2 linked regions of the Neodiprion lecontei genome follow. The protein of the gene in region 1 interacts with the protein of each later gene in a biochemical or structural test. Links are inferred from orthologs where the notes say so. Each region holds a gene or a part of one and is shown in the gene's direction. Other genes may lie near its edges.

Region 1 (7,476 bases):
TTCCTCCTCCTTCAGCTGCCTCTCCATGGCGCTTTCCTTTTTTGCTAAAATCAAATCCAAAATGTGGGTACGCACAAATTTGTAATATCGTAATTTTTCTGGATCAGAATCAATGCAATTTACCCTCTGCCAATTTCTTGAGCTCCGTATGCTGATCAAGTAAAGATATGTTGAACTTTCTGCCCCAGACTTGCCCGTCGTCGTCTTCCCCGTCATCTTTTTCATTCTCACTGCTACTTTTTCCAGCTAAACCGTTTGATCCTTCCTCCTTAAGTTGGCCGAGCCTACCAAGTTTCATAAGCTGCTGCTTCTTGCGCTCCTTTACAGGAATATAAGGCTGGTAATCATCGTCCGATTCGGAATCGCTGTGTGCTTTGGCGCTTCTTCGGGATCTCTGTCATGTTACAATGAGTAAATGAATATCGAATAAACGTAAGTACACAAAAATGATACGAGTAACACAGTTTTAGATCACAGCACACCGTGGTACAGTTGCATGTAAACTAACAGGTGTACGTTTAGTCTCATTTGATACAACCTGTAAATATGGCTTATTAACAATGAAACAATCACCTTTGGAGGTGAACTTCGATCACTTCGTTCTCCCATCGCCCCCAGGGAATGAAAGTATTCACACTGTAGTTTGTTTATTTGATTCCACGTTTGAATTTAGATTATCACTACGGAGATAAAGTGCAAACGAAACTGAACGTCAGATGTGAGTTGTGACTGAAAAACATAACCAATAAAGAACATACGGTTATGAAACGCAGGGCGAAAGTACGTGACTGAATTACCGACGGAATGAACGTGACTCCGAACTGTCACTAACCAAAAATAAGTACCTCGGAAAAACTAAATAACCGAATTGCCGGATGATTTTCCGTTCTCACATTGAATAATTTATCAGTAGCAGAGTGATTTGAAGTGAAAATATTCATTAAGATGAATCATAATTTTCCGGGTGCAAATATTTTCCTAAATGTGAGTTTTATTTTCTTCCGGCAAATTGCAACGAGTGACGTTTCAGTCGGTCAAAAAGAAGTACGTACGGCAAAGTGACAGCTATTTATGGCGGCTGTGTTTACTCTCTATATGCTACAAACACCGCGGTATACATCAGCTGCACAGACAGCTGCTGCAAGATAAAATCGACGGGTTTGACAGGCTGGCTAGTTGGAGTGAAAAAAATTGATTCGCCACACTAAACCGCCATCCCGTGATCGATCGCGGACCCACAGGTCCTCACGAATATTTCGTGCATTTAGTGGAAATTATTTAACCTCTTAACGGCGGGGCTAGTCGATATATCATCCAGCAGTCAGGTTGGGAACTTCAAATCATTGAAATCATTGAAATCATACATAAATATCACGTTCTAACACAAAGTCGATTTTAACTGAAATTTTGCCCGTCCGTAAAAGGTTGATACATGTTCATCTGTCTGCGATATGAGAATGAGTAAACGGATCGTGACGGCGAAATCTTCCGCGAAGATAACATACACGCACATATCGCAGTTCGAGACTGTATACGAATAACTATTCGAAAAATCTGGCGCAAACTCGGCGTGTAAATAGAATTTTAACGGGCGATGCGAGGTGGGTGTAAAAAAAAATAAAAAATGCGTCATATGAGAAATAAATAAGGAAATCGATGTATATTATGTAAAGTACTTATCAACTAAAACTCTTTCTCCGTTTCCCTTTTGTTTTCGTTCTCTCGTTCGTCAATAACCGTTATTTATACTAACGCGATAAGATAACGAAAATAAAAAAACATCTATTGTACGGTTGAAAGTTTTTCACCGCAGGCAGCAAGCTCCATCTGTTGCTGCATAGCATGTAGTTTAAAAAGTCAAGACCTGCTGGTTGGTTGGTGATGCGCAGCTGGTGTTGCTGGCTGGCAGGCAGGCTGAGAACTGCAGCGTGTTTTGTAACCTCGATTAATAATCTGGAATTTTGTGTACATAAATACATGAATAAATAAATTAGCAGGCGACCTTTGACTGATCAAATTAATAAATAATCAAAATCGTTGTGAAATAAATCGAAGGGAAAGTGCTCAGCGTAACCGTGCCAATTATGACAACAGGGTTCATTAATTTAACAAAATTTGAGGAAAATATAATTCTCGATTAAACCGAAGTATCGTCGTGGGGAAAACTGTAGAAATTTTATTATCATACGGAAGAAAGTGAAACTAGATAGAATAAAAGAAAAAAAAAGACAAGAAAATTCGCTAATCTGGGAGAGACTGGAAGTATGGAGAGTTGATAATAAAAAAAAAAAGTAGCCTTACCCAAGGAAAGAGAAAGTGCAAAATAGTCGACCTTTCTGACGTCCTTAAAGATTTGGAAAATATGTTGACCACCATTAGAAATAAGGCGCTTAATTTCGCCGATGTCGTTATGAGGGTTCCGCCGCTTTTCATTATCGACGAACTGCTCAGGATCGGCCTTGGCTTGCCCGGCGAAAACATAGTCCTTGAAGACGTCAACAATGAATTCAAAGTCGTCAGCGTTCCTGATTCCATTGTTGGTTCGCTGGTTGGCATTACACCCGAGGTCGGTTTGCTCCACCAGCTAAACTTGAGTCAGCACATCTACCAGTCGTACTTACTCACGCTCTTTAAATTCATCTTGTGCTGTTTAGGTAAGGAGCCAAAGTAAAAAAACCTCATTATCGGTTACCCTTTTACAAACCTGCTATCAGTTATTTCCGTTCTATGCACAACCAACGATTAAAACTTGGCTCACTGCTGTAGTTTTTAAAAGCGGTAACTGAAACAGGTCAATGAATAAATTATGTGGGGCACTTGACTTTGCAAGTCACTTAGAAGGTATTTACTCGCTTAGAAAATTTATGAAGGAGAAGGTCAAATTAAAGGAAGTATTTTTATCAAAATGAGGCATAAAAGAAATGCAAACAGTAGCTATGCAAGTATCAATAACCGTTTCAGTTTTGTTGTACATCACGTTAAATCACTGGATGATTTCAACTACCTTATGTATAGTTATAGAGAGATTCGTGGAAAGATCGCTTCGCTGCTTCGTCGCTTTTTGTTTCTCCTTTCCGGCAACGTTCTATTTCTCTCTATTCCAGCATGCGAGGCAGCACTTTGCGGCATTATGCTGCAAAAGAAACACCTCGTCGTCGTTTACCTCTACCTGATATCGGTCGGTGTGATATTCGTGTCATATTGGTCGAACGTCAGCACCATGAAGGCGGTCATCTGGTACGCCACCGCAAATGAGACAGCGACGAGTATCCTGGACGATGTGCTGTGTCTGGATATACCCAAGGTGCTGAATCCTGACGGACCGGGAGTCGTTGTCATCCGGAACTACATCCTCCAGTGCACTCTCGCCCTTATCTTCTGCTACGTTCACCTTGCTCCGAGATTTTCCATTATACAGAAGTCTCTCGTCTTCAGTTTCATGGCTCCTTCCATATTCGCAGTTCTTCCGATACCCGTGAGTTACGATTGAGAAATTGAAATATGGTGTGTTTCGAATAACGGTTGACATTTGGACTAGCATGGTCACCTCGATTTATATTCACTTTCTTCGCCCAATAAGTTTAGCATCAGCCTTGAAACCATTCCTGAAAATTTATCAACAAAACGAAGATGATCGGTTTGGCATTTCTTTTACCATCTAACAGTTAGAAATTTCGTTTCACAGATTACAGTTCTGAACCATGCTCCAGTCTTCGCAACCCTGCTTCCGCTCGCAGTGTCAAAGTTCGTAATTTGGTACAACTCGGTGGCGATGGGCCGCATCATATACTCAGGTTACCAGCACGCTCGAACGTTTATCAGCAGCTACGGTCTCTCGGCGTTGGTGGAGGCGGAATGGAGTCGGCTGAACGTGCCCTGCGTTCTGCGGATTTTTTGGATGCTTAGAGTGGGCGAGCAAGTTATACAAATAATGGGAAACCACTACGGGGAAGATACGTTCACGTATTACGTGATGGTCAGGACTCTGTTGATAAACGGCTGCGAGACGCTTACAGCTGTTCTAGGAATGACGAGCGTGATATCGTTCATCTGCCACTACATCGGTTGCTTCTTCCAATGGATATTACTTAACGATGACGAGGAGGACAGCAAGAGCATCGGAACGGTATCGGCGATTCTTTTCTACATCCTGGCTCTCCAAACAGGATTGACCAGTCTGGACAGAGAAATGCGGTTGGTAAGATTGTGCCGAAACTTTTGCCTCCTGTTCACAGCGCTTCTCCACTTTGTTCACAATATAGTCAATCCTCTACTGATGTCGCTGAGCGCGTCGCACAATCCCGCTCTTCACAGGCACTTCCGAGCACTGTTGGTCTGCGCCTTTCTGATTATGTTTCCGGTTTATCTCCTCGTATTGCTGTGGTCGCAATACTCGGTCAGCACTTGGCTGCTCGCTGTCTCGGCTTTTAGCATAGAGGTTATAGTAAAAGTCCTCGTATCGCTGGCGATATACTCGCTGTTCCTTTACGACGCGTGCCGTCACACGTTCTGGGAACAATTGGACGACTACGTTTACTACATACGCGCCTTCGGTAACACCGTGGAATTTGCATTCGGGATCTTTCTGTTCTTCAACGGCCTATGGATCCTCGTGTACGAGTCGGGCGGACTAATAAGAGCAGTCATGATGTGTGTGCACGCCTACTTCAACATATGGTGCGAAGCAAAGGCCGGATGGAGCGTATTCATGAAGAGGAGAACGGCCGTGAACAAGATAAACTCGCTGCCAGAGGCGAGGACCGAGCAGCTTATGCAGCTCGACGACGTTTGCGCTATTTGCTACCAGGAAATGTCAAGCGCTAAAATAACCAGGTGCAATCACTACTTCCACGGCGTTTGTCTAAGAAAGTGGTTGTACGTTCAGGATCGCTGTCCGCTGTGCCATGATATTTTGTACAAAGTTGACAGTCCGCAAGACAGCAAAGACAATGTCTCTGCTCTCACTGATCAGGAGAGGCGAAACGAAGATGAAATCGATGAGTTGTACCAGAACCAGGGACTGCAGAGGAACGGATTGCGAAGTCCGAACTATAGACGATACGTTGAACAGCTTAACGAAGACAGGTGAAGCTTAACGTCTAGCTATATTGTGATATAATTATTATAAAAAATAAATTATATTGTTATTTCATGTTATACAATGGAGTTTGATATTGTCACACTGTGCGAGGGTATCGTTTCAAGTCCAAGTGTAATTTGACCAAGGCTACTGTTCTTTTCTTCCTTCTTTCTTATTGTTTCTTTTACTATATTTAATTTTTTGTCTTTTTTCTTCCCCTCTGTTCCGTTCCTCAGAATCAACAATCGATGTGCAAGTTTATTATTATTATTATTATTATTGTTGTTGTTATTGTTATTAATATTATTACTATTATTAGACACGTTTCGTATCACACTTTATCATACTTCCGGGTTTAGATAGATGGATAATTCGCCATGTCCATACATTTTAAACTCTTGTATGTCATACAATCCTACCAAATCGAAGAAGAAAAAAAATACGAAAAATACCGTTAAAAATAGAAAACTAGCGACGAAAGAAAGGAAAACAAGAAACGAAGAAAATGAAACAATTTATTATTTATGTAACTATAAGGTAGGTAAATAGAGATAATAACGACGATAGAAATTATAGGAACTAACTTCCACATATTTTATATCATGTATATTATGTATATTATCATCATCATCATTATTATTATTATTATATACTCATATAAAAAAAATAATAATAATGATAATAATTTAGAAATCTATCCAATACTTTATTATAAATGTAAGCCGCTATACATGTACGTCAATTATTAATTTGGATTAATTATTCTGTGATCGTATAGTATCGCCTTAATTATATTATGTATAACATGAGCTTACATTTCTATACAATTGCTACTTACATGTGTCTCTCTCTCTCTCAATCCGTAATTTCTCTCGCGGTACTTCCTAAATTCCGAAAATGGAATTTTTCTGTAAAAAAAGAAAAGTTTCAACATTTTTTTTCTTTCTACACTTTTCTTATATTGTAGTAAATATTCTTGTAGGAACAATCCTTACCTCGCTTTACTTTAAAACGCGATTTGCGTCTTTATTTCATTCTTTTTTACACTAAATAAAGACGATAATTAGTTTTCTTCCTTTTTACTCATACCAAATCTTCGTCGGTAGCCCATATAATATACGTATAAATGATTATTCCTTGATCGATTAACGGGAATAAACCACGATGTTGTTGGAAAAAAATAATAATTTACTTTACATGTTACGTTCTACCTACTTGTCATCGATGAATTAATTTACGTATCTAATACAGAATGACCGATGAGGTAAGGAAAGAAAATGCATTGAGTAACGATAAAACGACCAAAAAGAAGAGAGAACGAGAAATGTGAAACGAGTCAAACAACACAGTGTGAAATGTTAAAGACAAAAAAAAATTAAAACCAATCGAAAAGAAATTCGTACCGCAATACGATACGTATTATTACGTGTGTTTTAATCTCCGTATAAACACACGTTTCACCTGTATTTGTGTATTCATTTAAATACAACAAGTGCAGCAAATATAGGCATAATGTATAATGTGTAAAGTTTAATTTTTGATGGGTATTCGTATGTGTATATATATGCTAAGCACAAAAAAAAAAAAAAACACCAAAAAAACAAAAATACGACTAATATTAACCGGTGGTTGTAAATAACCAATAGGTACGTATAGACCTTTGATTTGTTTCTTTTCTGTTTTGTGAATTTATATGTTTCATTTTCATATTATCCGAGTCCCTGATTCGTTCATACCCGAAACAATTATTAACGTATATGCGTTTCATTTCGCGCAAGTACCATTGTATACTAAACATAAATACAAACTATAGGTAGTAGTACGTTTATATTCCTGTATACCCATCACGCATACACATAAATATGCTCTATATCGCACCTTTCAGTAATAAAAATAATAATAATAATAATATCATATTTTGATAGATATAATTAAGCGAGAAATATAATATCTTATATGTATAATAAACAATATATTTTATAAATGAACGTCAATGAATCGTAAACCCTCTTTTATATTTATAAAAATATTTCATTTCTCCAGAATTATGCAAAAGCAAAAAAAAAAAAAAAAAGAAACCAACTACCGCGTAATTGACGATATTTAAACAACGTGTAATTCGCATTATCTTCAAACTGTGAAAGTACTCTCTGTATCGCAAAATAATTCATCAAAGGTTTCACAAAATTCGTGACTCCGTGAATATAAAAGTATAAAATAGTCAATCGATGTGAAATTTTTATGCACGGATATCAGACGTGTACAGGAAACATGTATTTAAAAAAATATCTCGAATGCGACCATTTTGTTGTACTTATCTGCGTATTAACATTTGTGCAATACACTTATTGTTAACGTGACCGCGGAAGGTGACGTGCAAAATTATTGCAATTTCT
Region 2 (5,758 bases), on another chromosome or scaffold:
CGCACGCACGTGTTAAAGCCGCGCGTAACGTAGCAACGGTGATTTTTCGACACGTGAGAAAATTAGGAATATCCATAATACTGATCTACTATTACGTATCTTTGTTGTGAATTTTTTTTTACATCTGCGGAGTCATTAACAATACCAAATTACTCAGGGTATCAATTTATAGGATTTAGAACAACAATACAGACATATTATCGTAAATGAGTGAACACGGAACGGGTAAATCGCTTCGACATTAGAAAGAAAGAAAGAAAGAAAGAAAATGAAAGAAACGCATGTTTTATGTATAACGAGGTCGCCTCTCTTTCTCCCCGATTCGTCTTGGCAAGCTACGCACTACATTTATCACAGGGGGCAAATACATCCAGTGACATCGTCGAATCGGTATCATTCGTACCTTCATACTCTGCTTTTACTTTTTGAGACTGAGTTTCCTGCAGTGCCGATATGAGCACGTCCCTCTCCTCGGGTGTCAGGCGTACAGCGAGATCCCTCGCCTGTTGCTTAGATAAAATCGGCGGGGTCTCGGGGGTCTCGACGTTCCGTGGAGCACCAGCAGTAGCAGTACTTGTGGTAGCTGTAGTAGCCGAGGGGGAAACCCCCGTTGTCATAGATGCCCGCAATCGGAGGTCCGTTGACCCCCGTGACGTCGGTAACATGCGCTTATTCGGAGTCCTGCAGCACGACGACGAGCTGCTCGAGGATTTTTTAGACATTAAATATAATTCACTGCCACAGCACATGGTATGGGAATAATTGTCATATATCGACAGTTTTCTCAACGTTGATGCACCGATTCCGGGCCCAAACTTCGCCAAACACTGCAATGACGTCACAGGTCCACTCATTCTCGTTTCGAAACTTTTTACTCTACTCTTTTGATTTTACAACCAATAATATATTCATTCGCTTTTCAATACTATCTATGCGGCACCTATTTATATCTATGGCACTCTTTATCGACTGAACATTTACGTTGCACGCTCGAACACAACTCACCGACTCTGCGAATCTGGGCTCACTGACTGACTGACTGACTGACCGGAGTCTAGATCCCCTGCGGTGACCTACGCTCTCTACCGGCATCAGCCGCTCGCGTCGATGCGACGACTCCTCCCCCTCCCCCTCCCCCCACCCCTGCCCTACCCATTCTGATTCGTCGGTGATGTATACATATTCAAATTTCCTGGATGTATGTCCACGGAGTTGATCCAATTCCCTGTTCTGCGATCCCTTCATTTCTCGGATGAGTACGTGGGATTTTCGATTCTTCCTTATGTATTATTAGTATATAATAAATTTCTGTCTTCGGTTTTCCCTATTCTTCGTAGTTTAATGCCGTAAGGCGGGATCCAAGTAAACCAAAATGAATTGAATAGAATTGAGTACGTCCAAAAACGCAGTTAATTAGAATTAATGCAAATTGAAATGTTTTATGGGCTAATTCTTTTGAATTTGTTATAATTCATGTTAATTCCTATTTTACCGTGTGCAATTCGATTTAGTTTACTGGGATAACACAACTCCGGCTATGCTTCCATATTTGCCGTATTTGACGAAATGGCAATAAAAAAATTAACGTGTATGAAATATCCAATCTGCAATGATATCGTTCAAACGAATTTTAATTACAACTGCGATAACTGATACAACGAATTAAAACCTTTTTAATTAATTCTCAGTCACGAATGATTCACGCAAAAGCAAATCGCGCAATGATAAAATTTCATTCATGATTCCGTTAAAGAAATGAATTGTAAAAGGGAGTAATAAAATTTAGAGTACGCAATATAAGTACAACACTGATCAGTAATCTCTGCACAGAAAATACACAATGAGATGACTAATTTCATGATGAGTCTCATTTGTTTTTCAATTTGATTTACAGCGCCCTCAGAGCGAGCAATTCGTGACGGATTTTTTTTGAACTAAGCATCGACAACAGTGACCCCTACTGCAAAACTAGTGGATATGCGAATTCGAGAAGATATTTAAGTTAGGTTTGTTTACGACCGTCGAAGAGTTTCTTTTCGAAAAGATTATTTTCAAGAAGTATATACGGGTATGGATTTTAGTCAACTGTTCTGATCCATAGTTTTCTACAGTTTGGCTAACTACTCTGTCGATATTTGATACGAATTTTTATAATAAGTTTACTTTACATAAACTCAACTGCCGCACCGTATTTCTGTTCGATATTCACATTTCACGTTTTTGCGAATTATTTTCCGTTAAGTTCTCCACAAATAATAAAAGCGATCAATTTATAGTCATCCATCCATCCATCCATCCATCCATCCATCCATTTATCCAGCGGTATTAGGCAGATAGAAAAATCCGTTTATGTTCATCAAATGTCAATTTCTGTTTCCAGGATAAAGAAGATCGTTAATAATGGCAAGCACGTCGAGCGATCAGTCGTCCACGGCACAGAAAACATGGGAAATGACAAATAACGTTGAGACCATAAGCACAGCAGATGAAATCTATCGATACGATCGTCAGGAGCAGCTTGATATACTCGCTGCGAAACCATGGGAAAAAGAGTATGAACTATGCCTGCTCAGTTATTTCAATATCCGAGAGAAAATCCACTCATCAATCTATACTGAACACGTCTGCAATTTTTTTTTCGTGTTTTTACCATATCCGTCTCTAATTTAGTAATAACTATCAAGTAACTGATCTATTATTGACTAAAATTTGATCTTTTCAGTCCTCACTTCTTCAAAGACATCAAAATATCGGCGCTAGCTTTGCTGAAGATGGTTATGCATGCCCGATCCGGCGGAACTCTTGAGGTCATGGGATTACTCTTGGGAAAAGTAACGGCGAATACTATGCTCGTCATGGATTCGTTCGCTCTTCCCGTTGAGGGTACTGAAACTCGAGTCAATGCCCAGGCCCAAGCATACGAATATATGACCGCTTACATCGAGGCTGCTAAACAGGTAATGGTGAATCAATATTTTTGGGTTGTAAAATGTGCCAAGACTTTCACCTCCATTGGCTGAATCAATACTGATACATTCTACAACTGTATTACAGAGTAGACAAAAAAATGGGACTGACGACATTTTTTCAGGTTGCCCGTCACGAAAATGCCATCGGTTGGTATCACAGTCACCCGGGTTACGGATGCTGGTTATCAGGAATTGACGTCTCCACTCAGATGTTGAATCAAAATTTTCAAGAACCATTCGTAGCGATTGTAATTGACCCTGTTAGAACTATTTCAGCTGGAAAAGTATGCCTTGGAGCTTTCAGAACATATCCCAAGGTTAATATAATAAATGATTTGAACACAATTACTAGGAAATTATACCTGAATTTTTTTGATTTAATTATTTTCGTGCCGTTTAATTCCCACAGGGTTATAAACCACCCAACGACGAGCCATCAGAGTACCAAACAATACCGTTGAATAAAATCGAAGACTTTGGAGTACACTGCAAGCAGTACTATTCCTTGGAAGTAACGTATTTCAAATCCTCCCTTGATCGTCGACTGCTTGATTCTCTCTGGAATAAGTACTGGGTTAACACGTTGAGCTCGTCCAGTTTGTTGACGAATGCCGACTACACGACTGGACAGATATTTGATCTTTCCGACAAACTGGAACAGTCTGAAGCAGCACTTGGTCGAGGAAACATGCTCGCCGGATCTAATGATCCTTACGACCGTCGGAGCGAGGACAAACTCGTCAAAACGACAAGAGATAGCTGTAAAACTACAATTGAAGTTATACATGGTCTTATGGCTCAAGTTATCAAAGATAGACTTTTCAATCAATTTGGAACCGGCAAAAAAGACTCTTAAGCTTATTTTCTCTTACAGTGCAGTTTTTCTATTGTATACCTATTATTAAAAAGATAAATAAATAATAATATTGTGATTTGCAACAAATTTACTATGTTCAATACGAAAATCATTCCAATCATAATGAGAATATTACAAATCAGAGGTGATAATGTAACTGGTTACCAAATCGTAACTACTTCTGTCCCTATACATTATTTTATTTAAAAATGCAAAGTTTACTAGATGTCAAAATTTTTATAAGAATCTGTTATGACTTTGTAGTATCCTACTCCACATATATTCCAATGAATTATGACTTGTACAGTTGAAGCTGCTGAGTTGCAGTAGTATATTCATGAATTCACACACAGGCACAAACTTCCCAATAAATTCATTTTGTCTTTCAGCGCAGTGCTTTTAAACAGTAATTACAGTAACAAGTCAAAGTTTTATGTAATACAAAGTAACAGTATTCAATTATTGTGGAATAAAAATACGTTTTATTTTCACACCTTGACTCACTAAAAAGTATATACAGCATCTTTATCATTATCCATTATCATTGTAACCGATAAATATACACACATTTACACATAGGTATGTATATACATATATTTATAAATGCGTATATATTTATATAAAACTCAAATAATTATGAGAACAAGTAGGCAGGGTTCATCCCTATTGGAGGGCTGAAACTTCTTTGTCAACATAATCATGCATACACTCAGTTACACGTATCCTGCAGATTAACTGCAATCACCCGTTACGAACACAATTCACAAGGGACGGACCTAATATACGAAAAATCCTAACTACCGATAAAATCGGTGCAATAGTGCATGTCCACAATCCTTTGTAACCAAGCAGTAACTTAAAGTTACAAGATTAATATGTTTTTTTTTTGTAAATTTATCTTTACAATACTTTAAGTACAACCTTGCCATTAATATTTAATTGCCAATTTCCAGGCACATATATGATTTCTTTCAACTACAGCTCAACTGACATCATAATTACCTCTCTCTGCCTTTCGATAAACAACACTTAAGCAAATATTGAAGCAAAATCTTTTTTTTTTGAATTTGCAAAAGTGCCTAACGCAACGATGTAAGCATACAACAGCGATAAAATAAATATTATACGTATTCATACATTATATTAAACGCGTGAATTAGCGATTCATTGGTGCAGCTAAATGAATATATAATAACAAATATTAAAAATTATAGTCCAAATACAGTAATAGTGGAGACGAGGTACGATAGAATTTAAATGTAGCAGAATCCAGAGAGAGGAAAAACTTGGGATTGTCAGGGGGATTCGGTACAATACAATGCTGTAATTTATAAAGGGAATCCTCGGTCTTCAAGACCTTAATAGTTCCCGCATTTGTTACGTACATACGTATAATTTGGGATGTAAAATTATGACATGAGTAGCAAATGTTTTAATATTCAGTCCTCAGCCCTCCAATGATAATAATTAATCAAGGATTCTACGTCTAACAAGGATTCTAGCAACTCATTCCTATTAGTTGGGTGAATCGCATTAAATCATTTTATCCAACATAACTTGATAGATAGTTATAATTGTACATAAAACGATTGTAGCAATGTTATTTACGATAATTAACAAAATTATCATACACGTAGTACTACAAATATCCCTCCCCCCTGGCCCCCTGCCAAAAATTAAAAATAAACAAAAAAAAAAAAACAATGTTCATGAGCCCCAATTATTTATTGTATATAATATAGTCACGTTTGGCATGACAATTTCTATCTAATATGTACAAAGTAATTGAGTTCATTTTCAATCAAAACGAAGAAGGGAAAACCGAGTCAAGTATCAAATCAACAGAGCGGGGCAATATATTGTGGATGGTTGTGAGAGTAGTAAAAGATATTATAAAAACAAGCACCCTTCACCCGCACTTTCCAATCGACTC

Evidence for each region.
Region 2: the proteins of protein TRC8 homolog (region 1) and COP9 signalosome complex subunit 5 form a complex in vitro, tested with the Drosophila melanogaster proteins (2 studies listed by BioGRID). The link is inferred for Neodiprion lecontei from reciprocal best matches to the Drosophila melanogaster genes Trc8 and CSN5.

What each region holds. Positions count from the first base shown.
Region 1 is NC_060262.1:4,895,096-4,902,571, forward strand, and holds protein TRC8 homolog, read left to right. Parts: upstream 1-2,362; coding exon 2,363-2,654; intron 2,655-3,104; coding exon 3,105-3,475; intron 3,476-3,685; coding exon 3,686-5,089; 3' UTR 5,090-6,711; downstream 6,712-7,476. Other genes in the region: ATP-dependent RNA helicase abstrakt, read right to left, coding at 1-44, 124-394, 574-609. UniProt on the Drosophila melanogaster protein: Plays a role in growth inhibition that is dependent upon COP9 signalosome subunits CSN5 and CSN6. May modulate signalosome levels or compartmentalization. Probably functions in the same or a related pathway to VHL during early midline development.
Region 2 is NC_060264.1:28,330,623-28,336,380, forward strand, and holds COP9 signalosome complex subunit 5, read left to right. Parts: upstream 1-1,933; 5' UTR 1,934-2,068; intron 2,069-2,380; 5' UTR 2,381-2,400; coding exon 2,401-2,552; intron 2,553-2,722; coding exon 2,723-2,957; intron 2,958-3,091; coding exon 3,092-3,286; intron 3,287-3,378; coding exon 3,379-3,825; 3' UTR 3,826-4,601; downstream 4,602-5,758. Other genes in the region: transmembrane protein 65, read right to left, coding at 404-827, 1,006-1,092. UniProt on the Drosophila melanogaster protein: Probable protease subunit of the COP9 signalosome complex (CSN), a complex involved in various cellular and developmental processes.